Linked DNA regions of Mus musculus. The protein of the gene in region 4 binds, or shares a complex with, the protein of the main gene of each other region. Links are inferred from orthologs where the notes say so. Each region holds a gene or a part of one and is shown on either strand. Other genes may lie near its edges. The genes, in order: Ints9, Ints1, Ppp2ca, Ints6, Ints12, Ints7 and Ints4.

Region 1 (3,043 bases), about 2.3 Mb from region 4:
AAAGAATTGACAAAAGGGGGCTTCCCAGTCTCCCTTTAGTCACCTCAACCTCTAGGCTCGAGTGGGGGTTCTTTTTGTACAAAGTACCTTTCCATAGAATTGAAATGTAGCTGACTTTACTGTTTCTGCTGCTTTTTTGAGACAGGGTTTCTCTGTGTAGCCCTGACAGTCGTAGAACTCACTCTGTAGACCAGGCTGGCCTCGAACTCCGAGATTTGCCTGCCTCTGCCTCCAAGTGCTGGGATTAAAAGGCCATGAACTGCCTGCCAGGTTGTTTCTGCTTCTTGAGACAGGGTCTTATGAGCCCAGGGGGGCCACGAGCCTGCTGTGTCAGAGGATGAGCCTCCAGCACTGGGTGCATCTGCATTTCTGCAGACAGGGTTAATGATTAGGGCAGAGGTGTGGCAGATGTGCTGTGGCGTTTTCACTGCTGAGTGTAGCTGCAGACTTTTCCCCCAGATACTAAGTCATTATTTAGACTGTAGTGCAATAGAACTGGGCACTTTTATAAAAATAATGTTTATTTTTAGCAAAACGGGCCACAGAACAGCGAGATAGGTTTGCCTTCTAATTTGGGGGCTGACCTTTATACGGTGTAGCACTGTAGGAGGGTAAGTCCGAGAGTCACCCCCTGTGAGCCCCAAAAACACAGGCCAGGCATTTTTTTTTTTTCATTTCCCTTAGGAAAGGATGTCTGTCATGTTGTCACCCATAGCTGCTCAGGAGCCCAGAACTGAAAAGAACAGGCCTCTAAACGTTCTTGGGGTCAGCAGTACGAGGAAGTCACACTGGCAGATCCTAGCTGGAGACACCTCTCCTCTCCGGAAGTCATAGGACACCACCAGACTGTCTCTGGGTGAAGGGCCTAGGATGTCACGGATGCCACTCAGAACTTCTGCAGGAACCTGAGGACAAGGTCCCGCAGTCGGACCCTCAGTGTCTCGTCATTGTCACAGATGATGTGAGTGGAGTCTTCTTCAATCTGGATGAGTGTCTCGGCTTCCTGCAGCAGGACAATATGTCCCTTGGCTGTGTCTTCCACCTTAATGTCACTGAAGCCATGCTGTTCCAAGAGAAAAGAGGAGGACAGTGCCTCTGAGAGCAAGGCCTGACTGAGCACTCACTATGGCGTTTACACTCAGCCCAGCTCTGACATCGGGGCCAGAGTCCAACCAAGAGGTTTTATTTATGAAAGGCCCCACGCACAAAACTCTCAGGAAAATAGCAGATTCCTCCACCCTTTCTGAGGCCCTGAGTCCATCAAGCCTCTCAGGTTCTCAGGGAAGAGCTTGGTTGCTGGTCCTGGCACCTGCCTACTTTTGGTCTCTGCAGTTCTGAGCCCCAGGAAAAGCACTGCTCCTCACAGTGAGGTACCACTCACCCGGGGGCTGGCAGCATCTCCCAGCCACCTTTACTGATAAATGAGAACTACAACTAAGTTAGAGTCACCAGGATGAGACACACAGCAAGTAGAGAGCCTGAGGCAGGGACTGCCTGTCCTTTGCTGCAGGACACCCACACGGCCTTGCGAAGGAGGTGAGACAGGGAGTTATAGGCAGGAGAAAAAGGTAAGATCACTGTGGAAAAGCAAGTTATTGTGAGAAATAACTTTCAAATAATTTTCAAAAGTGAAATTGCCAGGCGGTGGTGGCACACGCCTTTAATCCCAGCACTTGGGAGGCAGAGGCAGGCGGACTTCTGAGTTTAAGGCCAGCCTGGTCTACAAAGTGAGTTCCAGGACAGCCAGGGCTATACAGAGAAACCCTGTCTCGAAAAACCAAAAAATAAAATAAAATTAAAAAAATAAAATAAAATAAAATAAAAATGTGAAACTTGAAACCCCTGGCTCCTATCGGGAGCCCGTAAAGCCTCACGGGAGATGGGGTCCTTTATTCATCTACAGAACGGTGGGGAGATCTCAAGAGCAGTTGGAGAAATCAAAAACTAAAGAAAACTGAGCCTGGAACGGGAAGCCTTGTTTTTGAACCTTGAAAGAAGTCAGCAGCTGAGACAGTGTGGTTATCACGGCTTAGCTGGAGAATGTCCAACCCTGCCATCAGGTACTGGAGTTTTCTCAAAGCATACCCCATGCCATCTTCGGGGCCAGAATCCAACCAAAAGGTATTATTTATGAAAGGTTCCACGCACAAAAAACGTCACCCTATCCCCCTCTTCCTAGTAAGGGTGATTATGTGGAGACATTAACATTGACAGAGACAAAACTATAAAGATCTTTAAGGCAGTGCTCTCCGCAGCCTCCTGCACCGATGTAGTCAGGAGTCTCCCTTAGGCGTGGAGAGGCTGCTGCATGGTCAGGAGCACTGTCTGCTCTTCCAGAGAGAGGTCCACGGTTTCACTCCTAGCACCCAAGCGACAGCTACAACTGTAACTCGTTTCAGGGGATCTGGCCACCGTGGGCACCAGGCATACACAGGGTACACAGATAAATATGCAGGCAGAACAGCCCTACACAAAAGAATCTCTCCCTTGAAAGAAGCAGCCACTGGGGCCCACAGGATAGACAGCCACTGAGATGATAGCACAACATCTTCCTTCTTGCCTGTCTCTTCGACCCACCTCTAACGGAATCGCTGACCTTCCAGTCTCACATGCTAGCCCTCCCAGACAGTGGTGCTCTTCCCGTGGGCAGCCTGGCTCCAGGGAGGACAGGCAGCCTGTGCTGTGCTATTCCTGCTGCTCCAGAGCTGGAGACTGAAGACAGGGCTGGTGGTGAGCAGAGACTGGGGACAGCCCAGGAAGGAAGATGTTCTTTGGCTTAGTTCATTTTGAGCCTCTCCTCGTTCTATGACATCCTAGCACCCCCTTCGGGGCAGAGCAGGCCACCAGCTCACCTTCTCCAGGGTCTGCACAAACTGCTCTACGGGGATGGAGCCACTCAGCAGAGGCTTCAGTACTTTGCAGTCAGGAATGTCCTCGTTCACCCGCTTCCTCTTCTTACTGCTGGTGGGCTGGGTGGGCTTGGGAGGGGGCTAGGGCAGAAGGAAAGTGTGGCTCTTGGTGAGTGCCTCTTCACTGACTCCGT
Region 2 (4,237 bases), on a different chromosome or scaffold from region 4:
TGTGGTTTGCCAGCATCCTACATAGGTTCTGGGGGACGCTGCCCAACCTTCCCCAAAGGGTCCTCAGCAGGGCTCAGGCTGAGCTGGGTTCCACTGTCACTGGGTTAGGATCTACTGGAGTAAACAGACTCCCCGCCATTTTGTTTGATTTTGCTTTTGTTTTGGGTCAGAGTCTGTCTATGTGGCTCCAGCTGTCCTGGAACTCACGGAGATTCACCTGCCTCTGCCTCCTGAGTGCTGGGATTAAAGGTGTGTGTGACCACACTGTGACAACTCATCCCTTTTTAAAATCTAAATTTTATCTATTGTTATTGTGGGTATGAGTGTGCATGATGTGAATGTACAGCCATGCACACCACAGCACACGTGTAAGTCAGAGGACAAATTTGTAGAGTTGGCTCAGCAAGCTCTTTCACCTACTGACCCATCCTGCTTACCCTGACATACTGTTATTGTAGCCCTGGCATCACAGTAAGAAAGACCCTGAACTGCAGGCACTGACAGGTATGGGAGGTGCGCTCCTGGGGCTGAAAACCAGCTCTCTGCCTGAAGCTCCCTTTGTGCCACAATGTTCAAACACATCCTTTATTCAGCCCACAAATGTTTACTATATAGCTCTGGGCTTGCTGGCACCAAGGAGGCTGGCCATCATGGGGACAATCCATTAAGGGCGCTTGAGGGTCTTGGGCTCCCAATCCTAATTCTATGACCTTGGAATGTCTATCTGTCTGTCTATATGTGTATAGATACACTCAGACATTCACACACATACATAAACACACATACATATATATGTATACACACATACATGTACACACACACAAACATGGTCTCGGGACCATGTCTGGAATTTTGTCTTTGTCCCAGCAGCTGGACAATCTATCTGGGACTTCCTTAGAGGAGACCTGCAGTACCTATCCTGATAGCTCCATGTAGAGGTCTCCATGGAGAGGGAGGTACCCAAATCAGGTGAATCCAGAGGCCATTGACAGAGGTACCCAAATCAGGTGAATCCAGAGGCCATTGACAGAGGCCTTCAACATTTTAGAGCATGTATCAATATGAAAGTAGGATTTTGACTTTTTTGTTGTTGTTGTTTTTTGAGAAAGGGTTTCTCTGTATAGCCCTGGCTGTCCTCGAACTCAGAAATCCGCCTGCCTCTGCTTCCCAAATGCTGGGATTAAAGGCGTGCGCCACCACCGACCGGCTGGATTTTGACTTCTTGAGCTAGGATCAGATTTAGCTCCAAAACCGTAAGAGGGAACAGTTTATGCCCAACAAGCCCAGCTTTCAGACAGGCATAGGTCCATCCAGCCTCCGGCCGCCAGAGGGCGGTGCAAACACTAGTAGGCTCTGCCTGCCTCTCTCCTCTCTTCCTCGCCTTCGGGTTTGTTTTACTTCCGGTTATGTGAGAAATCAGCGCTCGGAAGGCTCGCAGATCAGTTTGCACTTCCGGAGCGCCCGTGTCTCGGGTCTGCAGAGTGCTGCACCGGAGGTGAGGGGCCTTTGCACCCAGGTGAAGTCCGCTCCCTGCGGTGACATCCGTCTCCGCAGTCGGCCGCGTGTGTGCCGCACTTGGCCCCTTTCTGTGACCCCGGTAGGCGGCCCTGGGCACTCGGTCCAGTGGCCCCGGTGCGAGGGATGAATGACTGAGCGAGCGAGTGACTCCCGCCGCCTCCTCCCAGGTGAAGGCGCTTCCTCTAGGGGCGCCCGGGCCGCGGGGAGGATGAATCGAGCCAAGCCCACCACCGTACGGAGACCCAGCGCGGCCGCCAAGCCCTCAGGTGCGTCCCTGCGCGCGGCGACCTCGAGACGGTCAATGAATGGGTTCCATGAAGGCCGGCATGGCCACTGAAGGGGTTCCTACGGGACATAGTTAACTTGGGACTGTTGGGAGAGCGTGGGCATCCAACACAGCAGGACAACGGTCATCCAACCCAGGCTTCCTGCATACATTGCTGTCCTGAGGGGCTCCTAAAGGACAAGGGCATCCTTGTCCTGCTGAGCATCTGGCAAGGACAGGGTACCTGGACCAGAATCACAGTCTCTGAAGCCGGATAATCTAGACTGGGGTCCTAAAGTTTCTTCTTGCTAACTGTGTGACACTGGCACATTACTTAACTTCTGTCTATTTTGTTTTGTCTTGTTTTGTTTTGGTTTTTTCGAGACAGGGTTTCTCTGTGTAGCCCTGGCTGACCTGGAACTCACTCTGTAGACCAGGCTGGCCTTGAACTCAGAAATCCTCCTGCCTCTGCCTCCCAAGTGCTGGGATTAAAGGCATGTGCCACCAGTCCCCTGCCTAACTTCTGTGTCTTTATTTGTAAAACGAGGGTCATAACTTTTGAAGAAGCCCGGTGAGAATTAAGTAGACAGTGCTTATGAGTTACAGATGGCTTAGTTTCTAGTCAGCACTGGATCAGCGTCAGCCATCGCTTGCTCTGCCAGGGTGGTTGGACAACCTCAGGCTTTACTTTTGTCTCTTGGGGGCCCACTCTGAGATTGGGTATCACAGGTGTGGGTTTTCTGTTCCTCTGCAGGGCACCCTCCCCCTGGGGACTTTATTGCTCTGGGGTCCAAGGGTCAGGCCAGTGAATCAAAGACAACGTCCACCCTGCTGAAGCCAGCCCCTTCTGGGCTACCCTCAGAGCGCAAGAGAGATGCTTCAGCTTCTCTGTCTGGGACCTCTGCGCTGACCGGCCTCACTAAGCGCCCCAAACTGTCCTCCACTCCCCCACTGAGCGCCCTGGGACGTCTGGCTGAAGCCGCAGTTGCAGAGAAGCGAGCCATTTCTCCATCGATTAAGGAGCCATCTGTGGTGCCCATTGAAGGTAAGATCAGACTGCCAACTTCCCCAGAGAGATTCCTTCATCCTGTCCATCTGCCCAGTGCCCGTGGGAGCCACTTCCAGCCTGGTTCTGTTAGCGTAGTGGGGTCTTGGCTTCCTGTGGGCTCGCTGCCTGGCATTGTGAACAGATGCACCTCCCATTCCCACAGTGCTCCTGGTTCCTCGTTCCATCATTTATCTGGCCTGTGTACAGCCTGCCCCTGGTTGTGACAGCACTGTTCTGAACCGTGCTGGGACAGGTGCGCAGGCTGTGGTGGCATCTAAGTGGTTCTAGCCCGGTCCTCCAGTGGAAGGGGATTCTTTGCTCACTGTCTTTGCCTCCAGGACAGGGAGCATTTTGGTGCCATTTTCCAGGTAGAAAATAGGTCCCCCAAGTACCAAAGAGACCTCAGAGGAGAGACGAGTGTCCCTGAAGTTGTGCAGGGGTCTGACCTTCTCCTCCTTCTTGTCATTTATCCCATGACTTCTTTGACAGTGCCAGGATTGAGCCTAGGTCCAGATGCACACAAGGCAAGTGTTGTAACCACTGAACTCTACAGCCCAGAGCCCCTCAGTGACTCATAGCAGCTCCATGATGCCTTAGCATAGACCTGTCACCCGCTAGCTATGTGCCAGCCTCTGAGCACCTAACATTCCAGTAGCAGACGCCACTGTCTGCGTGTCTGCTCCGAGCCTTTCTAAGGGACTCCTTCCTGAGAGCCAAAAAGGACAAGCATCCTGTCCTCTAGCCTTTAATGAAGCTGTATCTCATGAAGCTACGTTGTCCCTTGGTACTGAGATGTCATTTGAAAGGCTCAGAGGGTGCCTGTTACCTCAGCTGCTTAGGAGACTGAGGCAGGCAGATGAAAAGTTCAAGGTGAGCCTTGGCCACTTCTTAACTTGACCCTGTATGACAGTAAAAAAGTAAATTGAGGGATATGGATATAATTCAGTGGTAGAGCCCCTGCCTAGAATCCCCCAGTGAGGGGCTGGGGTGTGGCTCAGTGGTAGAGCCCCTGCCTAGACTCCCCCAGTGAGGGGCTGGGGGCGTGGCTCAGTGGTAGAGCTCCTGCCTAGAATCCCTCAGTGAGGGGCTGGGGGCGTGGCTCAGTGGTAGAGCCCCTCCCTAGACTCCCCCAGTGAGGGGCTGGGGGCGTGGCTCAGTGGTAGAGCTCCTGCCTAGACTTCCCCAGTGAGGGGCTGGGGGTGTGGCTCAGTGGTAGAGCCCCTGCCTAGAATCCCCCAGTGAGGGGCTGGGGGCGTGGCTCAGTGGTTGACCGGCTGTCTAGATTCCCTCCTTGAGCACTTGCCAGCATTTCTGAAGCCATTTGTTGAGGAAAACGACACAGACTCTGGTGTATGGTTTCTGGGAGCTCAGAGCCTCCGTGTGCTGGTGAGGCCCATCTGTGTTGC
Region 3 (3,957 bases), on a different chromosome or scaffold from region 4:
CTAGTTCATCCCAGTAGGGAAGTCACAGCTGCAGGAATCTGAGAGAGGTGCTCATATCACCTCATGAGAAACTCAGCAATGAATGCATGTTCACACTGTAACATTTACTTGTGTGTGTACCTCAGAGGACAGCTTGAAGGAGTATGTTCTTTCTACCATGTAGTCCTATAAGGAAGGGGCCAAACTCAGGTCATTTGGGGACCTTTGCATAGGGAGCTCCCCCCACCCTTACACAATTGAGAACCCCTCCCTCCCAATCTAGGGAATGGTGCCATCCACAGTGGGTGTGTCTTCCCATCTCAACATAAGGAAGATGCTCCTAAACATACTCACAAGCCAACCTGATCTGCTAGGTAGACAATTTCTGAGACTTCCTATCCAGGTAACTCTACAGCAGCAGTTCTTTTGGGGGACCAGAACGACCCTTTCACAGGGGTCACATATCAGGTATCCTGCACACTACTAGATATTTACAATTCAAAACAGCAGCAAAATTACAGTTATGAGGTAGCAACAAAATAGTTTTATGACTGGGATCACCACAACATGAGGAACTGTATTAAAGGGTCACAGCATTAGGAAGGCTGAGAACCACTGCTCTCGAGGGTCAAGTTAACAATGCCACCCTAGTCTTTCCAACTAGATTAAAAGTTCCTTGAAAATATGCATAACATATTCTTCATTGTGTTCTGGTTGCCTTCTTAAGAGCATGTAATCTTGGAGCATGTGTTAACTATTTTTAAGTACAGAAACAAGGACCAAATAAACCGTTTACCTGAAAAAGCCAGTTACAATCACTCAGTTGGGAAATGAAAAGTAATTGTGTCCAGGTCTACCGAACAGTCCAATGAGTGGTCACACAAATGACTAGTCATCCAATGTCCACATAAAGCCCTTCACTCCGAGTCAGCAATTAGAGACTGAGACCTGGCAAGATTTACTAAGTAATATTTAAAAGGCTTACTTCTAAACCTTAAAAATACCAACCTTGTTTGATGTGAGAGAAACAAAGATCAAAACACTAGAGATTCAAGTGGGGCGTGTTATAACACACAGACAGACACACATACACACACGTCATCCCAGCACCTGAGGAAGCAGAGACACAAGGAATGTCACAAGTTCAAAGTTACCCTGGCTCTACATAACCAGTACCAGGGCAGCCAGGGATACTTGGGATGGAAGGAAGGAGGGAAGGGATAAATCTACATTTGACTTAACCAAAATGGTTTTCAGCATTTTCTGAAAAATTGTGTCATCAGAAAATATTCAACCTCAAGAATCTCCTTTCTACACCAAGCCACAAAAGAATGAGCATCTTCTGTGCTCCAAAAGTTCTTCCTGCTAACACAAATTACTAACATAATCCATAATTCTGCACTAAAATTAAATGTTAAATTAACCCTGAAAAGAAAAGCTAAAATGAAGTGGAGACACATTTTTCTAATAGAAAATTGCATTAATTAAGACTTCAAGAATACAACATGAACAACTTGCTTCCCCAATTCTTGGAGAAAACCAATGGAATGAGATAACCTGAGATACCGAGTTATCACTTCAAGGAGTGGACTCAGTTCCATGTCTGAAATAGAGAAATCGGTCAACACGGGGATTTCTACTGCTGATTGTAGCCACAAAAATACAATCCAAGAAACTTTTGCAACCAGAGAGGATAAAAAATTTGACTCTCTTCCCGTTTATGTTGCTCATTCAAAAATAAATGGCTCCACGCCAAGTACGTTACACACAGAAGGGTTTCACACTACCCAATTTGAGTCAGCATATACATCATAAATTAATGTGACACTGTATTTCCAATCCCAAAGCTCTTCGTTGTAGTATGACTCACCAAATCCTCCATTTGTCCAACTAAGAAAACTTTATATTCCTCCCTTCAAACTACCACTATGACCTTCGTAGGAACTGGGTTAGCGACTCCCTTCATAATCGTTAAACACACACTTTAAACAGGGCTCCGGGGAAGCCGAGGCGTGGAGACCGACAGGAAAGCGAGGTGACCTTTCCATAGGCGCTGGGGTCTGGCCTACAAGCCCTGCTGTGGGGGACCCTGTGGGCAGCGCCCGCTCCACGAAGCAAGCCCGAGTGCAAGCGCAATGCTTTGACTCCATGAGTCCGGAACCCGTTCCCGGGCGCAAAGCCCAGCCAGTCCCTCGCCGGGCCACCGAGGGTCCCGGCCGCCCCACTTCCCAGGGTCGGGCCGGGTTCGGCCCGGAGGCTCCGAAGCCCGGAGTCCGGCGCGCGGCGCCATTTTAGGCCGCGGTGGCGGCGCCATCCAATCAGCGCGCGGGAGGCGGGGGGCGCCGGGTCCCTCGCGAGTCGCCGCAGGCAGCGCCGGGCGCCGGGCTGCTAGGTTCGGGGGTCTGGCCTCCGTGCCGCCATGTTGCACCGTCCCCGCGGCCTCCTGATAGGCGGGCCCGGGCAGAGGCCGCACCCGCGGCCGAGAGCAGCTCACCTTCTCGCAGAGGCTCTTGACCTGGGACTCGGAGAGCTGCTTGCACTCGTTCAGCTGCTCGATCCACTGGTCCAGCTCCTTGGTGAACAACTTCTCGTCCATGATGCCGCCCGCCCGAACCGGCTGCCGCTCCGCGCTGCTCCCGCGCCGCCGCCCGCACCCGGGCCACACGCACACGCCGCCGCCGCTCTCCCGGGGTGCTTTCTGCGGCCCCAGGCGGCTGCTGGGCGCTGGCGCCGGCCCGCTGGCTCGCTCCGCAGTGCTCGGCCGCCGGCCGCTGTGCCTCCTCCTCCGCTCGCCCTAGCTCGGGACTCGGCTTTCTGTAATGGCGGCCGCCCGGCGTGGTGACGTCACGCCAGCGTCAGGGAGCCGCGGGGAGGGCGACGGAGTGGGGCCGGGACCCAGAGCTGCGCACCGTGGAGCCGGGGCGCAAGCGCAGCGGAGTTGGCTGCCGAAGGAAGTGGCTTCGCTCTTGGGGCGTGGTCCTCCCGCTGGGAGGGCGGCGGGGGAAGGGAAGAAGCGAGTCCGAGCAAGCGCAGTGCTGGTTAATCCTGGCGTCCCAGGCTCCGCAGGGCGCCTGCGCGGTCTCGGCGCATGAGCAGTCCGTGTAGGCGAGGTTTTTATTCCTTGTGACCTGGTGTTTCTGGAAGGCCTCTGGGTGATACCTCTCAGATGTGGTCTGGGCTCTGCCAGCCTGATGACTAAAGGCAACCCTAAGGCGCTTAGTCCAGCAGCCCTGGGAACCACAAGGGAGTCACACACCTTTGGGGACAAGCCTAGTGGCAGGTTGCCTGGAGTGACCTTCCCCACCTCTGGCCGTTGCAGGCTCCTATAATTAGGTCATTCGTGGGCGAAGGAAGGTGTACCTGCTGGGATGTGTCGCCCGCGCACCTTACACCCCCAGCACACACCTGTCCCTGCACGAAGGCGGGGCCGAAGTGGGCCTTCGATCCTGGCCTCTTCCTAAGCCTTGCTTCCTCTCCTGTGGCCTTCAACACCTCTGGTGTGCACTTTTCTCCGAGACCTGTGCCCACTGGAAATAATCTTGTCCTACATTCTAGAGGAACAAGCCAGGGCTGTGTTCTGGTACTGGTAGAAGCAGCTACCGTGTGTTCTGTAAAGGAAGCTGATATTCTTAAGGATCAGCCTTCGACCTGGTTATAAATCTCTTCTGAGGCTTGTGAAACGTGTTCACATTGCACTGTCTGCATTCACAGAGATACTTGGCTCTACAGAGCATCAACTGTTGACCAGATCCCATGCTTAGGGGACAAAGGGGTCATGCAGACAGAAAGGGGCTACTGCCCTGGTGGAGCTTGAATGTTCCTGGCTGGAAATGAATGGAATGGATGGAAGTCATACACTGCTCCCCTCCAGAGTCTGGGAGAGAAGCCAAAGGATGGTTATCCATGAAGGTCAAGGCAAGAGCTGACCTAGCTATACTGTGGGGAACAGTCAAGCCTGTCACACACCGGAGAAGACAC
Region 4 (3,500 bases):
ATCTGGCTCCTATTTTTCCAGCTATTGTCATCACTCCAATTAAATGGCTGCAGCTAACAGACAGTGTAAACTGGCCATTAAGTCTGGTGTTTACTTGATAGATACCATAGTGTGGGATGTTAGAACTAGATCATTGGAACATTGTTGAAAGTGACCTAGCATGGGCTTAAGCCTCATAAAGAAGAAGGTGGAGGAGTTGCTGGAGTGAAAGTTGGTAGACATTGGTGCTACAGAACTTCATAAATTTGGAGCATGCAAGGGGAGTGCTTGGGGTCCTTGTTAAACTGCTTGTTATCATGCAAGTCAGGACTGGGCCACAAAGGAAGCATTTCAGAGGCTTTCCTGAGGCTTCCTTGTAAGAACCTCCTAGAATGTTAGGAGGGACTTACGAATGTACAGTGAACGAGGTGCCAGAGCATGTGCACTGAACTCAGTATGAAGAGAATTGTTCAAAAGTGCAGGAGTTTTTTTGCCTTTTTTTTTTTAATGGTTTTAGAGTTTTATTGTAGAAAGGCAGAGAGAAAGAGAGAAGGTAGAAAGAGAGAAGCCAGTCATGACCACGTGGAGAGAGGGGGAAAAGGAGAGCTAGAGATGAGAGTAAGAAAGTTGAGAGCGTAAGAGCTTTTTTTTGGTTTTTCGAGACAGGGTTTCTCTGTGTAGCCCTGGCTGTCCCGGAACTCACTCTGTAGACCAGGCTGGCCTCAAACTCGGAAATCTGCCTGCCTCTGCCTCCCAAGCGCTGGAGTTAAAGGCGTGTGCCACCACTGCCTGGCTGCTTTTTTCTTTATAAAGAATTAAATACAAGAGATTTTAAAATTACATTTAAGAGGTGAAAGAGTCAGTGACTATCTCACTTTTACACTCATGAGAAAGCAATTTCTACTCCACATTTGAGAAGGAGAGAAGTGGCTTGTTTGTTTTATTTTTTAAATAGGAGAGTGTGGTTTTCATTAAAGCAGAAATTACCGTGATTTTCAGCCTTAACCTTAGACAAAGGCTGAGAAACAGTTGTGGAGAATAATCAGTGAAGAAGTGTTTTCAAATCATGGGGTATAATTCAGAAAGTATGAGAGAGGGAGATGGAAGGAGTAGAAACCAGGTCTTTACATTGAGAGGTAGAATAGAAGGGTTTAGCTGGTGCCCTGGAGGCTGGTGAATAATCAAACTTAGGGGTCATGTCTAAGAATCTTATATTTATTGGCAAGCTAGTAAACTTTTGGGTCTGCTGGTCTAATGAGCTGAAGTGGGCACCAGATTACTTTGCATGGCTAGGAACTGAAAGGATAGATAGAAAACAGTGTGCTCTGAAATGTAATGTGCCTTATTTGGTGTTCCTTGCAGAATCTTGAGCAATAAACACCACTCAGTGTTTACTTTTCTCTTTAAAGAATAACAGGTTTATAAAGATAAGTAGGCTTAAGATGAGGTAGGTAGGACTCTTAAGCCAAAAATGGCAATTTTAGTGGTGTATAAACTGAAAACTGGTTTAGTTACTTTGCTAAAATAAGGTAGAAAACAGGCTACAGTTGTTTCTATTTTAAATATGTCATAAGTTTAAATTTTAGTTATTTGTAGTAATTGTGTTACTTTAGCATTTTTATTCTGTACTTTGATACCAGATCTCACTTTTCGTTCCGTTTCTTTGGTTTCATTTCAGAAGCCACTAATGATTCAATAGTAGATGATGTGGTTGAAAATCATGTTGCTGACCAACTTTCATCAGACATGACACCAAATGCTATGGATACTGAATTTTTAACATCTCCCCCTAATCTTTTGGAACCATCAACCAATCATACAGAGGCCCTTGGTCATGAACATTTAGGAAACAATGACCTCACTGTTGGTGGGTTTTTAGAAAATCATGAGGAGCCAAGAAATAAAGAACAAAGTGCCGAAGAGAATATACCAGCATCTTCACTCAACAAAGGAAAGAAATTGATGCATTGTAGAAGCCATGAAGAGGTCAACACTGAACTAAAAGCACAAATAATGAAAGAGATCAGAAAGCCAGGAAGAAGTATGTATAATTAGAGACAAAACTTACTAATTTCTTTGTCTTCAATTAGGGAAAACCAAGTCAAATCAGTAAAAGCATATGTATTATGCTAGATTACTCATGAAGTAATATCTGAATTCTTTAAGGTTTAATTTCAGATTCAGCTGGAAAACACTAAATAATCTTGGTACTCAAGGTGTTCTAGTATGGGTGGTAGATAGCAGAAAGTCTTTATCTAGAGATGTAGTACATGTACTTGCCATGACAGGGGCACAGAATCTTGACTGTTCTAACTAGGAATTGAAATTTTACAACAGCTAACCCAAACAGATAGGGTGGATAATACTACATGACTTGGTGTTCGGTTAACAGTGTATCTAAGAGGTAGAGCACCTGTATAGCCCAAATTCAATTCTCAACACTGTCTTGTGTGTTTGCAAAGTTCCTCTCTACTGACTGTCACTATGAATGAATTATGATAGTGACCTTCATCATGTGCTTAGGCTCCAAACCAAAGTCGTAAGGCCATCACATGAATGCAAGAGAACTCTCGTGGTACAAGAATTGTGCATAATATTGGCATCCATTCAGAACATAGCTGACTCTGCTGTGGTGGTGTAATAAGAAAGTGGAAGGGTCTTGAGCACACACACATACAAAGTGCTTAGAAGGTTTTATTTTTGGTGATACATACTTTCATGCACATACATGTTAACAGTGGTCTGTAAAAGCTTTGAAGAGTGGTAATATTTTTATGTAAAATATTTTTTGTCTGAGTATAGAGGCAGTTAATTGATTTTCCTTCTCTCTCTTTTTTTAAGAATATGAAAGAATCTTCACCTTACTGAAGCATGTGCAAGGCAGTTTACAAACAAGGCTAATATTCTTACAAAATGTCATTAAGGAAGCATCCAGGTAAAGAAACTTGTGTGTTTCTAAACAATAATGAAATAGTTTTTGGTTTGCATATATACTTGAATTGCATTAGTTAGGCAGTTGGGTTTATGTATGTGCATGGATTTGATTAATTGAAATGTGAATTAGCTTAAAAGAGGAAAAAATGGAAAAAAGTTGCACACGTCCCTTATCACTCAAAATATCAATGTAGAAAGGTAAAAGAAGTTAAAGATGTACAACACCACCAAAAAGCAATGGAGAAATTAATCAAGAATTTTAGAAGAATATAATAATTTACCAGGGAAAAGTCCATAATTTCTCAAGGATTTATGTGCCTACTTCAGCTTGGGCACACTTCTACTTGGAATGCTGAAGATAAGGCTATGTGTTTTCATATAAGTTGAAATACTTAAGTTATTCTACTTTTAATGAAAAGTCTGTTCTGTCTTTTGTTCAGTTCAAAGCATGCCTTGAATTTTTAGTGTTGTTCATTTTTGAGATAGCATCTTCCCACATAGCCAAGCTAGCCTCCATCTTAGGTTTCTTCTGCCTTAGTCTTCCAAATGCTGGAATTATAGGTATGTGCCCACATGCTAATGCATCT
Region 5 (3,500 bases), on a different chromosome or scaffold from region 4:
CTGGGTCTACTGCTTAGTGCTTGCCTAGCATGTAGAAAGTCCTGAAGAAAGCACCGAGAAAAGAAACAAGCACAGAAAGTAATGACCTAAACAGTCTCCAGTTAAAAACCAAGATACCATACTCTAGTCCATCTACCACCGTTCCTACCATGGCCTCACTAGGAAACCGGAGACAGAACCAGCACCTATCTCAGGTTCTCATGGTGTGCATGTCGATGAGACAGCCACCGCAACCACAGACCCTTTATCACCCAAACTCTTTTGTGATCATTCTCTTGCAGGCTTACACTCTAGAAAGCTGTGGACACTACAGCTGGGTTGTAGCCATAACTTATGCTTCAGATTCTGATCAGACTCAAGCTAGCCATAGTTGTCTTCCGTCTTAGTTGGGCAGCTGTGTCTCCACACCTGGGTTACCTGGAGTTTCAGATCTAGAATAGTATAAAACTTCTAGCTGAAAGTCTGCCTGTACTAGGTAGACACTACTCCGGCTAACTTACTTATTTTGTTGTTATTTCTACAATTCTACAAGATAGTTCTTAGTCTCCTCACTTTGCCAAGGTTGGGTGAAATAAATTCAGTTTCCTCACTGTAAAGTAAGAAAAATATGCAATACTAATTTCCAGGGATGATTATTATCACAAAAATTCATTATAGCCACAAACCACTTAGGAAAGACTTAGTTAGAGACTGTAACATTTCAGGGTATGTAATTCTGTATCACACAACTACAAGAGGTAAACTGAACGTTCAAAAGGTGTTCCTGACTCTGAACCACACACTCTTGTCACATACTGCTGCCATTCACTACCAATAAAGGAGCTACATGGCTTTGTCATCTACAGCCTTTATTTACCCTTATAGCATCCTGTCCACATTTAATTCATTGTCAAAAAAAAAAAATCCTGTGTTGCTTATATTTTGATCCTTAAAACATTACAGAGTAATTAGAAATAAGTTTGGATACCTTTCACAGCATACAAATAGTTATAAAGAACTGGAAGTTAAATTGCAAAGAAGGAATTTTTGCACACCAGGTAGTAAAATAGCATATGCTCTAGACCAGCGGTTCTCAGCCTTCCTGATGCTGCGGCCCTTTAACATAGTTCCTCATGCTGTGCTGATCAACCATAAAATGATTTTCATTGTTATTTCATAATCGTCATTTTGCTACTGTTATGAATTGTAATGTAAATACCTATGTTTTGAGACAGACTCAGGCAACCCCTACAAAATGGTCGTGACCCATAAGTTGAGAACCATTGCTCTAGACCACACTAACATTTCCGGGTGTTCTTTGAAGGCATGAGGGAAGAGAACAAAGTTAAAGAATGTAATTTCTTTGAGACATAAGGAATGATTACATAGAGTATTTGGAGACAATCTAAATGTTATCACTGAACACTTCCAAGACTTTCCAAACTTTGTATTCAGGTCGATACCTTTTGAGTTGGACGGTAACTGGAATCAATGCCCCGAGCCAAAGACTCATCAAGCAACGCTTTTAGCTTTTCAGCAGAATCTTTACTCTTTGAATGTAAGAAACCTAGTGCTTTCAGAAAAATGGGATCAAGTTCCAAGTTCACAGTAGCAGCCATTGCAAACACCTAAAGACAAAAAACAGGAGGGGGAATAATTTAGACAGTGTATAATAATATATCATTTATCTATTTTGTTTTCTTGCTTATAATATTTTAAAATATCTGAAAGGTTACTAGAGACAAAGTAAGGACAGAAATTATCTGACTTCCTTCTCCCTTCTGGAACAATGAATGTTACCAACTTTACACGTATCTACATCCACTACATTTCTGAGACAGGATCTCCCTATATGCTCAGGCTGGACAATTTCATCTTCCTGCCTTCATCTCTGCACTGGTGAACTTGGAGGTGTGTTGCCACCACACCTTACAAAGACAAAGTTTTAATACTGACAAGATCTTTAATCACAGGGTATCTCCCTAGTTATCTCTAATAACACATCTGTAACTTATGACACGTAACTTGCCTGCTCTTAAGTCAAGTTTACTACACATTAAAATGTCTCTTTTCAAGTCTTATTTTTACCACAAAAATAGAGATCTTGTGTTCATGGGTGTGGGGCGGGGAGGGCAAGGATAGGATCACAGAGCGGGTTCATGTCGCAGTCGCTGTGTAGCTTTTACAACTGTTTCTTGTTTTGCTTCTGTGTATTTTCCTTCCTCCCCAGTCCTCTGTTATTTTTAATATCCCAGAAAGCATTAGTGGCAGTCTTTCTATATTGCATTTAGATGGAGGGATCTCTTGCATTAAGCTGTTTCTCAAAAGCAAGGTCTCTGAACAATGATCCTTACCTACTGCATGGATCCCTCAGGTCTAACACTGCTGTCCTAAGGAGCTTAAACAACAGGCCAGACAGTGGAGCCACACATCAAAGGGCTGCAAAGTTCTCAACACACAAGTTTTGTTTTCAGTTGATACCAATGTTATCACGTGCTTCTATTTCTGGTTGTCCTTCTTCCAAATACCTTCTTGGCAAGGAATTATTAAAATAAAAACATACCCTTGGTGTCCAATTCTTTGATCGATATACTGAGGTTTTAAATCCTCTTCTATCCTTAAGTTTAAAGGCATAGTAATGAAACAGCTACAGAGCTACAGTTAAAGGTCTCTCCCCAATTCCACAGTAAGCTCCCGTTTTCAAGGGCTTACAATGCCATTCAAACTTGCTGTACATTGAATCTTGGCATATGAAAGCACAGGCTGAAAATAGGTTTCACTTATACCGTCTGTTTTCCTCCTCATACCCTGCGCAGACAGACAGACAGATAGACAGACAGACAGACACACACACACACACACACACACACACACACACACATGCACGCGCACATACACACCAGGCTTTTTATAAGTTTCTAAAAAGGTATCTGATAATTAAAAATTATTACTAATTCTATGTTCTACTAAACCCTGATCTGTCTGGATTGCCTGGATAGTGAGTTTGAAGGCTAGAGTTCTAGAAAGAAAAAGTAACCACACCTCAGTTATATTAGTGAGAATTTAAGAAAATGAAATCGGCTCCACTGCTGCTTTAAATTATATTACATATAGTATCTCAAAGAATGACAGGAGGATTATTTGAAAATGCACTGATGAGGAAAATTCATTTACTATAATTTCCATGATTAAAGAGGTAAACCTGTTGTTTCAGCTAGAAAAACACAGTGTAACCTTTCTATGACCTATTTTATGTAGCTGTAGACACACTAGTTTACTTAACCCAGGGCAGTCTGTCTTACAGATTACTGAGCAAATAGTGATGCCTACACAAATACTTACAACGGGACAGAGGCACTACTTTATATTTTCTCTTTGGAAAAATGGAAGCAAAGTACTGCTATGTAATTCTGTCATCACAAATGAAATGCCCATAAATTAGGTAACCTATGGTGTAAGTCTACAAAATTTGTCAACAGCAATACTCTAAGGGGAACCTCAGAATTAGTTCTTTTTCTAAG
Region 6 (3,555 bases), on a different chromosome or scaffold from region 4:
CATCAGCTCCTGCCTCCAGGTTCCTGCTGTTGGACTTACTACTGTGGCTTCAGGATAAGTGAGCCAAACAAACCCTTTCCTCTCCAGTTGTTTTTGATCCTGGTGTTTCAGCACAGCATTAATAACCCTATGACACACAGTACGTAGCTTTTCTAAGGTCACAAACGTAGGTAAAGTTTGAACATGGGCAGTGTAGGTGCAAAGACTATGTTCTCCTCACCTACTTACACAGAACTCAGTAAGTACCAAGGAAAGCAGGCCTGCCTTCTGAAAGGCAATTACCAAACAGGGAAACACACTGATTTCCTACCCAGCCTGCTTATCTTTTTTTGGGGGGGATTATCCTTTAGTGTCAAATTTTTAACACAATCTTCTTCCTGAGTAACTACTTAAAGGTTGATTTAAAAACAACCCACTACAGTGAACATACAGCCAGACAATGCCACTCCTGGGTCTTCTGGACAGAGTCCGGTTTGCTTCAGTTACTTTCACACTCAACGATCAGGACCTGCTTTTATTTGTTTTCTAAGTCTGTTGGGGTCTGGGGGTCACCACAGTACATGGAATCCAAGAGTTTATAACCACAAGTATCAAAACATCTTAATAACATAAAATGTGAGGGCCACAAAAGAAATGAGTGTCTTACTAGATTTACATTCTTTCTGGAATCTACTGTGTAACAGTGCCAGAGACCTGCAACTCACTCTACAATATCAGCTACTTAAGAGTGAAAAAGGACAGGCTGGGCGTGGTGGCACACGCCTTTAATCCCAGCACTCAGGAGGCAGAGGCAGTCTGAGTTAGAGGTTAGTCTGGTCTATAAGCAAGTGGTTGGACAGCCAGGGCTACACAGAGAGATCCTGGATCCCGTCTTCCAAAAAAAAAAAAAAGAAAGAAAGAAAGAAAAAAAGGGTCTTCCTCTGGGTGCTAAGTCAGGCCGGTGACAGAGTAAGTGGGACTTGGGTCCTCAACCAAGTTCAATCTCTGGCATTTTCCCCAATTTTCTTCACCACTATCTTTTTTTTTTTTAATCCAGTTGCCTGATAAAGCTGAGTTAGAGTGGAGAGACCTAGCCTAATTCAGTCATTTGCTAAGAGGCTGACTCTACAGAGACACGCGACTCACTGCTGAGCCCAAAGTGGAACATTGACTCAGCTCTTTCCATATCCAGCAAAGGACACGGGCTCCGCACGGGTCTTCCCTCGCACTCTGGCATCAGTCCCCAGACGCTGACCAAGTGCCGACTGTGCACCATGTGCACTGAGGTGGCTGGGGGGGGAGGTCACTTACAGTGGATACAGTAGACTTGCACAGACTATGACAAGCAGAATGGGCTATGCAGAGGTAACATCTCACAAAGCAAAGTGACCTCAGGGGAACCCAAGTTGTCGATCACTTCTCAGTCCCTGGGGTGATGCGACAGGAAAAAACAAAAACCAAACTCCATTTAAAAAAAGTCAAGTCCTCTTATGAATCAGTATGACTTTGAAGAGAAAAAAAAGGTAAAACACAAGCAAAGAAATTAGGAGATTTATTTACACAGGGAAATCCAGGGCTCATGCCCTTAGCAGCCCACTGCACCCAACACCAATGACCACAGGGGGTATCGGCAGGCTCAGCTCATCATATTAACCGTGGTCCAAAAGCACTGAGCAGCCATAGTCAACTGTTAAATCAAACCTAGAATCAGTGTGTTGTCATGTAGTTTCTGACCATGACTCAAGTAGAAAAAGGGCTTTTCTGGCTAGCCAGAGTCTGTTCCCTGAGCATCCCAGCTGAGGTTACGTCTCGGAGATAGCTGTCTAGACATCAGGTGTAGAGTAATACGTCATCTAGTAGAAACCAGAGCGGGGAAGGATCTGTTCCCTTTACATCAAACAGGAAGACATATGTGAACCACATTCCATTTGTAGAAAAAAAATATCAGAAGTCCACACTAGTCACATACCAGAAAAAACAACACATTCATTTCCAACCTTTCTAGCTGGAGCTGTTTTTTGGGTCAATCAAAGACCAAAACAATAAACTAACATTGCTTCAGGACAGAAGGTGGGTAAGAGGTGCCAATGCAGCAGGCCGCTGAGCCTGTGGCCCACAGGCTCCCACAGACCAGAAGGCAGGTGCGGCCTCTGTGAAGGCCTCATTCTCCAGCCCAGGACAAGCACTGCACGACTCAACAGTACTCCCTGCCTGCCTCAAAACCCCAGGTCGGGCCAGTCAGCACAATAATTCTGGTAGACAGAGACACAGTCAAATTTACCAATGATCTGTGACTATTCTTGGAAGAAGAAAAGCTCACCAACCACAAAGAATAATACAACAAAAATGCTAAGTGTGAGACAGAAGACTGGGTTTAAGAAATTTGGGCGCACGCCTTTAATCCCAGCACTTGGGAGGCAGAGGCAGGTGAATTTCTGAGTTTGAGGCTAGCCTGGTCTACAGAGTGAGTTCCAGGACAGCCAGGGCTACCCAGAGAAACCCTGTCTCGAAAAAAAAAAAAAAAAAAAAGCACTTTTATTTTGGCTGAGAGCCAGGTTATTTCTTACACTAAATTTTTAAGAAAACAACAACAACAACAACAAAAACAACTTCACCAGAATGTTACATTACAGCTATCAGTGAATACTGGATTTCACACTGTAACATTGACACTTAATGCACATGCGGAAGACTCTTCTTGTAGTCTGATGGCTGTGCAGTGTGGCAGTAGTATGCTTGTAGCACAGCTAAAACCGGGTGTAGGCACTGCGAGGCTGCGGCTGCGGCTGTGGCTGTGGCTGCAAAGGCTGCTGGGCCTGCTGCTGTAGGCGAATCTGCTGGGAGTAGGGGTCTTCCAGGGATTTGACAAACATAGTAGTTCTGGGGCCAGTCTTCCAGACGATGCCATTGGCATCTCTCACCGATGACTCCACTGTGATGCTGTGCGTTCCAAGGACAGCAAAGTTCAACAGGAACTGGGTGCTGAAGTAATCATTATGTGGCTCAACCCTCTGCTCCATCTCATTGGTCATGCTATCAATGGGAATCTAGAACACAAGAATTGTTAAACCAGCATGAGTTGCTTACTCAGTATTCTCCAGGAGCCAGGCCCTGGAGTCTAGGGTGCTGGGAGACACCTGCAAACTGGGACAAGCCACATGAATTCTCATCACAATTCCCAGCAACATCTGAGATCACCCAGCCATAACGGGAGTGTTCTAGACACAGCCCACCGTTTATCACTCAACAAATATTTATAGAGTGGCTAAGGGCTGCATTAATCAAAGAAAAGAAAGGAAGAGAATGGAGACCAAGCCTTAACAGTGAGCAGATTGCAGGCTGAGAGGACAACACTGAAGAAAGTGAGACAGAGGCCACACCAGTCCTCCTTCAGCTTCCTACCTAAAACTGTGATGATGAAATGATCGTGTATGTTCGTGTGTGCACGTGGGTGTGCACATTATATGCTTGCTAGTGTGGGTATGTGCATGTGGACATGCAAGTGTGTATGTGTGAGGACATGAGTAGGAGGCCAGAGGTCAAAGCTGGGTGCTTTTCCTCAATCACTTTCCACCT
Region 7 (3,500 bases), on a different chromosome or scaffold from region 4:
AGTTCAAAGGACAAGAATGAGCTCGATGGCTTGAAATCAAACAGCACAAAGGCTCAGGCCTCCGAATGGCTCTCCAACTCTATTTCTGGTCTCTCAGGGTCAGAGCAAAGACTAGACTGCTATCCTCCAGGCAACTAAGGCCAGCATGAGCACCATGTGAGCCTCACATTACAGGCCATGTAGCAAACATACCCACCACTCAGGGCCTGACACAGCCATGCGTGTAGCAATGACACAAGCGCTACTCCAACACAACAGCCTCCACTCAAGGTGGAGCCAGGCGAGACCAGCATCAGCCTTCTCCTCACACTCCTAATCCACCCCAGACAGCACATCACAAGTGCCTGGGCAGTCACAGTACTTTCAAGGAGCCAAACCCTGGGCAAGTCAGAGGACGCCATATAGTACTGACCAACAGAGTCTTTCTGCCTTCCCTCACCGGTGTCTGATAACAATGGCAGTGCAAGCCAATGCCACAGGAAGATGGGAGAGGAGAGAAAGTGAAAGGCAAACACACAAATAGTGCAAGAAGAGAGACAGAGAGACAGAATAAAGAACACTCAGGGAAGCAGAGCCTGGGTACCCTGAAATGCCAGGTCCTAGATCACAGAAATACGAAGGGGCTACCCTAACTACCTCTTTATAATAACTTCATCACTATGCATCTAACAGGTCTGACAGAAGGAAACCTCTAACGGCACTAAATAGTTCGGCATGTATGCTTTGCACTGGGACATGTATATCCACAAGTGTGAGTCAGAGGCCAGAGGTTAATAGCAGTGTGTTCAACTGCTTTTTACCTTTTTGTTTTTTCAGAATTAAAATAAACAAACAAAACACTCTTAACCTGGGTGTAATGGCCCACACCTTAAATCCCACCACTCAGGAGACAGAGGCAAGCGGATCTCTGTGATTTCAAGGCCAGCATGATCTATAAAGTGATCTAGGACAGCCAGAGAAGCCTTGTTTTAAAGGAAAAAAAAAGATTAAAACATAAAATAAAATATAAAATTCTAGATGGTATTCCTCTACTAATTAAACCAAATTGGTGGCATTATTCCCTTTCCTAGTAAAAGTCATATTCCCAAGTTCTCCCCAGTGACTGAGAAACACCACCGTAACCGACTGAGGCCCATTAAGACCTGCAGATTGAAGTTCTCCAAGCAGCTTCACAGGCCTGAAATGTAAAAGTTTTACACATCTGTATTCTCCCACTGTATTCTTACAGATTATAGATTGTGTGTCTGTCTGTCTGTCTGTCTGTCTGTGCACATACAGACATTAGCTATCCAGGTTCAGTTCTAAGTCTGTAAAACTAAACACCTGTATTAGCTCCAAACAGTTCATAGGGATCAGAAGGACAGCTACTTGTTATTTGATTTGTTTCAGTGAAATAAGCTGGACTGTCCATATACAAAGAGATAATGATTTATAATGTCTGTTAAGAAACACGAAACTTTAATTTCCAGAATAATCCTCAGTAATTTATGGGTTGAGAATTATTATCTTCATTTTGGAAGTGAAGAGGAAGACTCGAGAGAGAATGATGTATATCACAGGCCCAGTGAGCACAAGAAAGCAAGTTTCCTGGTGTGAAGTGAATGAGTCTCCCATGAGTCTCCACACTGTTAGAGTCTTCTGAGTGTCTTCCTTGTGCAAACAGCAAATTAGTCCAAATATACAGATGTTTGAGCTTCCTTACTTATGAGAGCAAGTTCACTCAGGGTATGGTGGCACATGCCTTTAATCCCAGCACTGGGGAGGCAGGTGCAGAGGCAGGCAGAATTGGAGGCCAGCCTGGTCTATATACAGAGTTCTGGGCCAGCTAAGGCTGGAATAGTGACATCTTATCGCAAACAAACAAACAAACAAGCGAATCACAATGGGAAAGATCATCGGGGACTTATTTCCTGCCTACCCAGCCCACATTCTTACCTGTCCAGGCAGTATGGGAGAGGTACACCTGAGTGAGGAGACGGTGCCGTCCTGGGCCAGGATTCCGGAAATCTGCTGGCTTGGGGTGGATCATCTGAGCCTGGCCATCTGGATATAAGACCTACAATATGACAGAAATGGGGCAACAGAAAATAGATGGGCTAAGAAAACTGATAACATCTACTGTGTCCCCAAAATCATTAGCAGGAAGATGACTGTAGCCATTATATAAAAACTGCTTCTTAAAGGAGAAACACCTTTAATCACAGCATTTGAGAGGCAGAGGCAGGCGAGCTCTGAGTTCAAGGCCAGCCTTGCTTAGAGAGAGAGGTTCAGGTCAGCCAGGGCTACACAGAAAAACCCCGTCTCAAAAAACTGAAAATAAAGGGGGGGGGGGTAGGGCCACACTAGCAGAAGCAGTGTCTAGCTACTATTTCTTAGCTCCCTGGTAAGTGAATGATAGGAATGGTGTATCTATTAACAGACAGTAGAGAATGGGGCTAACTGTGGAAAGACGTGCAAGCACCCTGCTTGCAGTCCTAGCACTTGGGATGGAATTGGGAAGATTGGACGTTCAAATAGCAAGGTGGAGGCCAGCTTGGTCTGTGAGATCCTGTATTAAGAGGTGAGGTGAGGAGTGGAGAGGAGGAGAGGGACAAAGCCCCAGAGCCCCGAAGCTTTCTCAGTGAAGCTGCATTAAAAATAGACAACCCGGTTGGGCCTGGTGGCAAATGTCTTTAATCCCTCCACCTGGGAGGCAGAAGCAGGCAGATTTCTGTGAGTTTGAGGCCAGGCCAGGTCAGGCCAAGCCAGGCTGAGCTACATAGAAAGTTCCAGGGAAGTCAGGGCAATAGAGAAAGCCTCTGTCTGAACCCATTAAAAGCTAAAACAAACTTTAAAAAAATGCAAAAACACACACACACAAAAAAAAAAACCAAAGAAAATCCATAATTTTAAGGGAGAATAAAGCCTCCATGAAGTCTCTAAGGCACGCTGACAGTTGCAGGTTTTCACCTCTGTCTGATGTTCCGAGTAAGGAAGCTGGACTTTGAAAGTGCTACAGATGTCTCATGACAGGGCAGAAAGCATCCCCATTACACCCCATGCAGGCAAGTGTTTGCCTGGAAGGCAGTAGAGATGTTTTAGAGTAAATTCTTTTCGGGATAGTTTAGCAGATGACCTGTAAATCCACCTGCGATTGTTTACACAACAAAACAAGTGTCCATCAGACTAAGACCTCTGAGCTCAGTCTCAGGATTCTGACTTAACTGGTATAGGCCGGATGAGGACTGGTCATCAGTTTCTAAGCAACTACAAGTACAGCTAGGGTGGCTAACCTTAAAACACAAAGAAGCACTGCAGTTACAGCTTTCTACTCGCTCAGAAGTTCTGTGGGTATGATCTGTGACGTACCCACACCCATTGCAGGATATTTGATCACACTGTGAACCTGAGATTGTGTTATTTACTGAAATTACTTATTTCTAATTGTGGTGTGGCTCAGTCTTAGCACACACCTTTAAGCCCTCTGGCTGGAATACAGACGTGCCCTTAGTACACACACT

What was found.
Region 1: Ints6 (region 4) and Ints9 share a complex: the UniProt entries of both Homo sapiens proteins name them as parts of the integrator complex. The link is inferred for Mus musculus from reciprocal best matches to the Homo sapiens genes INTS6 and INTS9.
Region 2: Ints6 (region 4) and Ints1 share a complex: the UniProt entries of both Homo sapiens proteins name them as parts of the integrator complex. The link is inferred for Mus musculus from reciprocal best matches to the Homo sapiens genes INTS6 and INTS1.
Region 3: the proteins of Ints6 (region 4) and Ppp2ca are in contact, whole or in part, in a cryo-EM structure (PDB 8RC4), measured with the Homo sapiens proteins. The link is inferred for Mus musculus from reciprocal best matches to the Homo sapiens genes INTS6 and PPP2CA. Residues at the interface, in NP_036273.1 of Homo sapiens: Leu20, Gly21, Thr22, Asp26, Lys29, Gly30, Glu33, Lys78, Asn79, Gln81, Asp575, Glu576, Asp577, His580, Ser581, Val582, Pro583, Ile584, Ala585, Met587, Gly588, Asn589, Tyr590, Tyr593, Leu594, Met626, Met627, Ile628, Asp629, Glu630; in NP_002706.1 of Homo sapiens: Arg89, His118, Val126, Tyr127, Pro172, Trp200, Pro203, Asp204, Asp205, Arg206, Gly207, Gly208, Trp209, Ile211, Pro213, Arg214, Gly215, Tyr218, His241, Gln242, Leu243, Val244, Met245, Glu246, Tyr248, Asn249, Trp250, Cys251, His252, Arg254.
Region 5: Ints6 (region 4) and Ints12 share a complex: the UniProt entries of both Homo sapiens proteins name them as parts of the integrator complex. The link is inferred for Mus musculus from reciprocal best matches to the Homo sapiens genes INTS6 and INTS12.
Region 6: Ints6 (region 4) and Ints7 share a complex: the UniProt entries of both Homo sapiens proteins name them as parts of the integrator complex. The link is inferred for Mus musculus from reciprocal best matches to the Homo sapiens genes INTS6 and INTS7.
Region 7: Ints6 (region 4) and Ints4 share a complex: the UniProt entries of both Homo sapiens proteins name them as parts of the integrator complex. The link is inferred for Mus musculus from reciprocal best matches to the Homo sapiens genes INTS6 and INTS4.

What each region holds. Positions count from the first base shown.
Region 1 is NC_000080.6:65,037,293-65,040,335, reverse strand, and holds the end of Ints9 (integrator complex subunit 9), read right to left. Parts: intron 2,991-3,043; coding exon 2,853-2,990; intron 2,061-2,852; exon of another isoform or gene 1,904-2,060; intron 1,064-1,903; coding exon 887-1,063; 3' UTR 501-886; downstream 1-500. UniProt on the Homo sapiens protein: Component of the integrator complex, a multiprotein complex that terminates RNA polymerase II (Pol II) transcription in the promoter-proximal region of genes.
Region 2 is NC_000071.6:139,772,879-139,777,115, reverse strand, and holds the start of Ints1 (integrator complex subunit 1), read left to right. Parts: upstream 1-1,437; 5' UTR 1,438-1,645; coding exon 1,646-1,784; intron 1,785-2,537; coding exon 2,538-2,828; intron 2,829-4,237. UniProt on the Homo sapiens protein: Component of the integrator complex, a multiprotein complex that terminates RNA polymerase II (Pol II) transcription in the promoter-proximal region of genes.
Region 3 is NC_000077.6:52,097,667-52,101,623, reverse strand, and holds the start of Ppp2ca (serine/threonine-protein phosphatase 2A catalytic subunit alpha isoform), read right to left. Parts: upstream 2,801-3,957; 5' UTR 2,576-2,800; coding exon 2,474-2,575; intron 1-2,473. UniProt on the Homo sapiens protein: Catalytic subunit of protein phosphatase 2A (PP2A), a serine/threonine phosphatase involved in the regulation of a wide variety of enzymes, signal transduction pathways, and cellular events.
Region 4 is NC_000080.6:62,695,113-62,698,612, reverse strand, and holds part of Ints6 (integrator complex subunit 6), read left to right. Parts: intron 1-1,657; coding exon 1,658-2,020; intron 2,021-2,820; coding exon 2,821-2,914; intron 2,915-3,500. UniProt on the Homo sapiens protein: Component of the integrator complex, a multiprotein complex that terminates RNA polymerase II (Pol II) transcription in the promoter-proximal region of genes.
Region 5 is NC_000069.6:133,094,855-133,098,354, reverse strand, and holds part of Ints12 (integrator complex subunit 12), read right to left. Parts: intron 1,608-3,500; 5' UTR 1,599-1,607; coding exon 1,443-1,598; intron 1-1,442. UniProt on the Homo sapiens protein: Component of the integrator complex, a multiprotein complex that terminates RNA polymerase II (Pol II) transcription in the promoter-proximal region of genes.
Region 6 is NC_000067.6:191,620,636-191,624,190, reverse strand, and holds the end of Ints7 (integrator complex subunit 7), read right to left. Parts: intron 3,027-3,555; coding exon 2,727-3,026; 3' UTR 501-2,726; downstream 1-500. UniProt on the Homo sapiens protein: Component of the integrator complex, a multiprotein complex that terminates RNA polymerase II (Pol II) transcription in the promoter-proximal region of genes.
Region 7 is NC_000073.6:97,536,456-97,539,955, reverse strand, and holds part of Ints4 (integrator complex subunit 4), read right to left. Parts: intron 2,057-3,500; coding exon 1,936-2,056; intron 1-1,935. UniProt on the Homo sapiens protein: Component of the integrator complex, a multiprotein complex that terminates RNA polymerase II (Pol II) transcription in the promoter-proximal region of genes.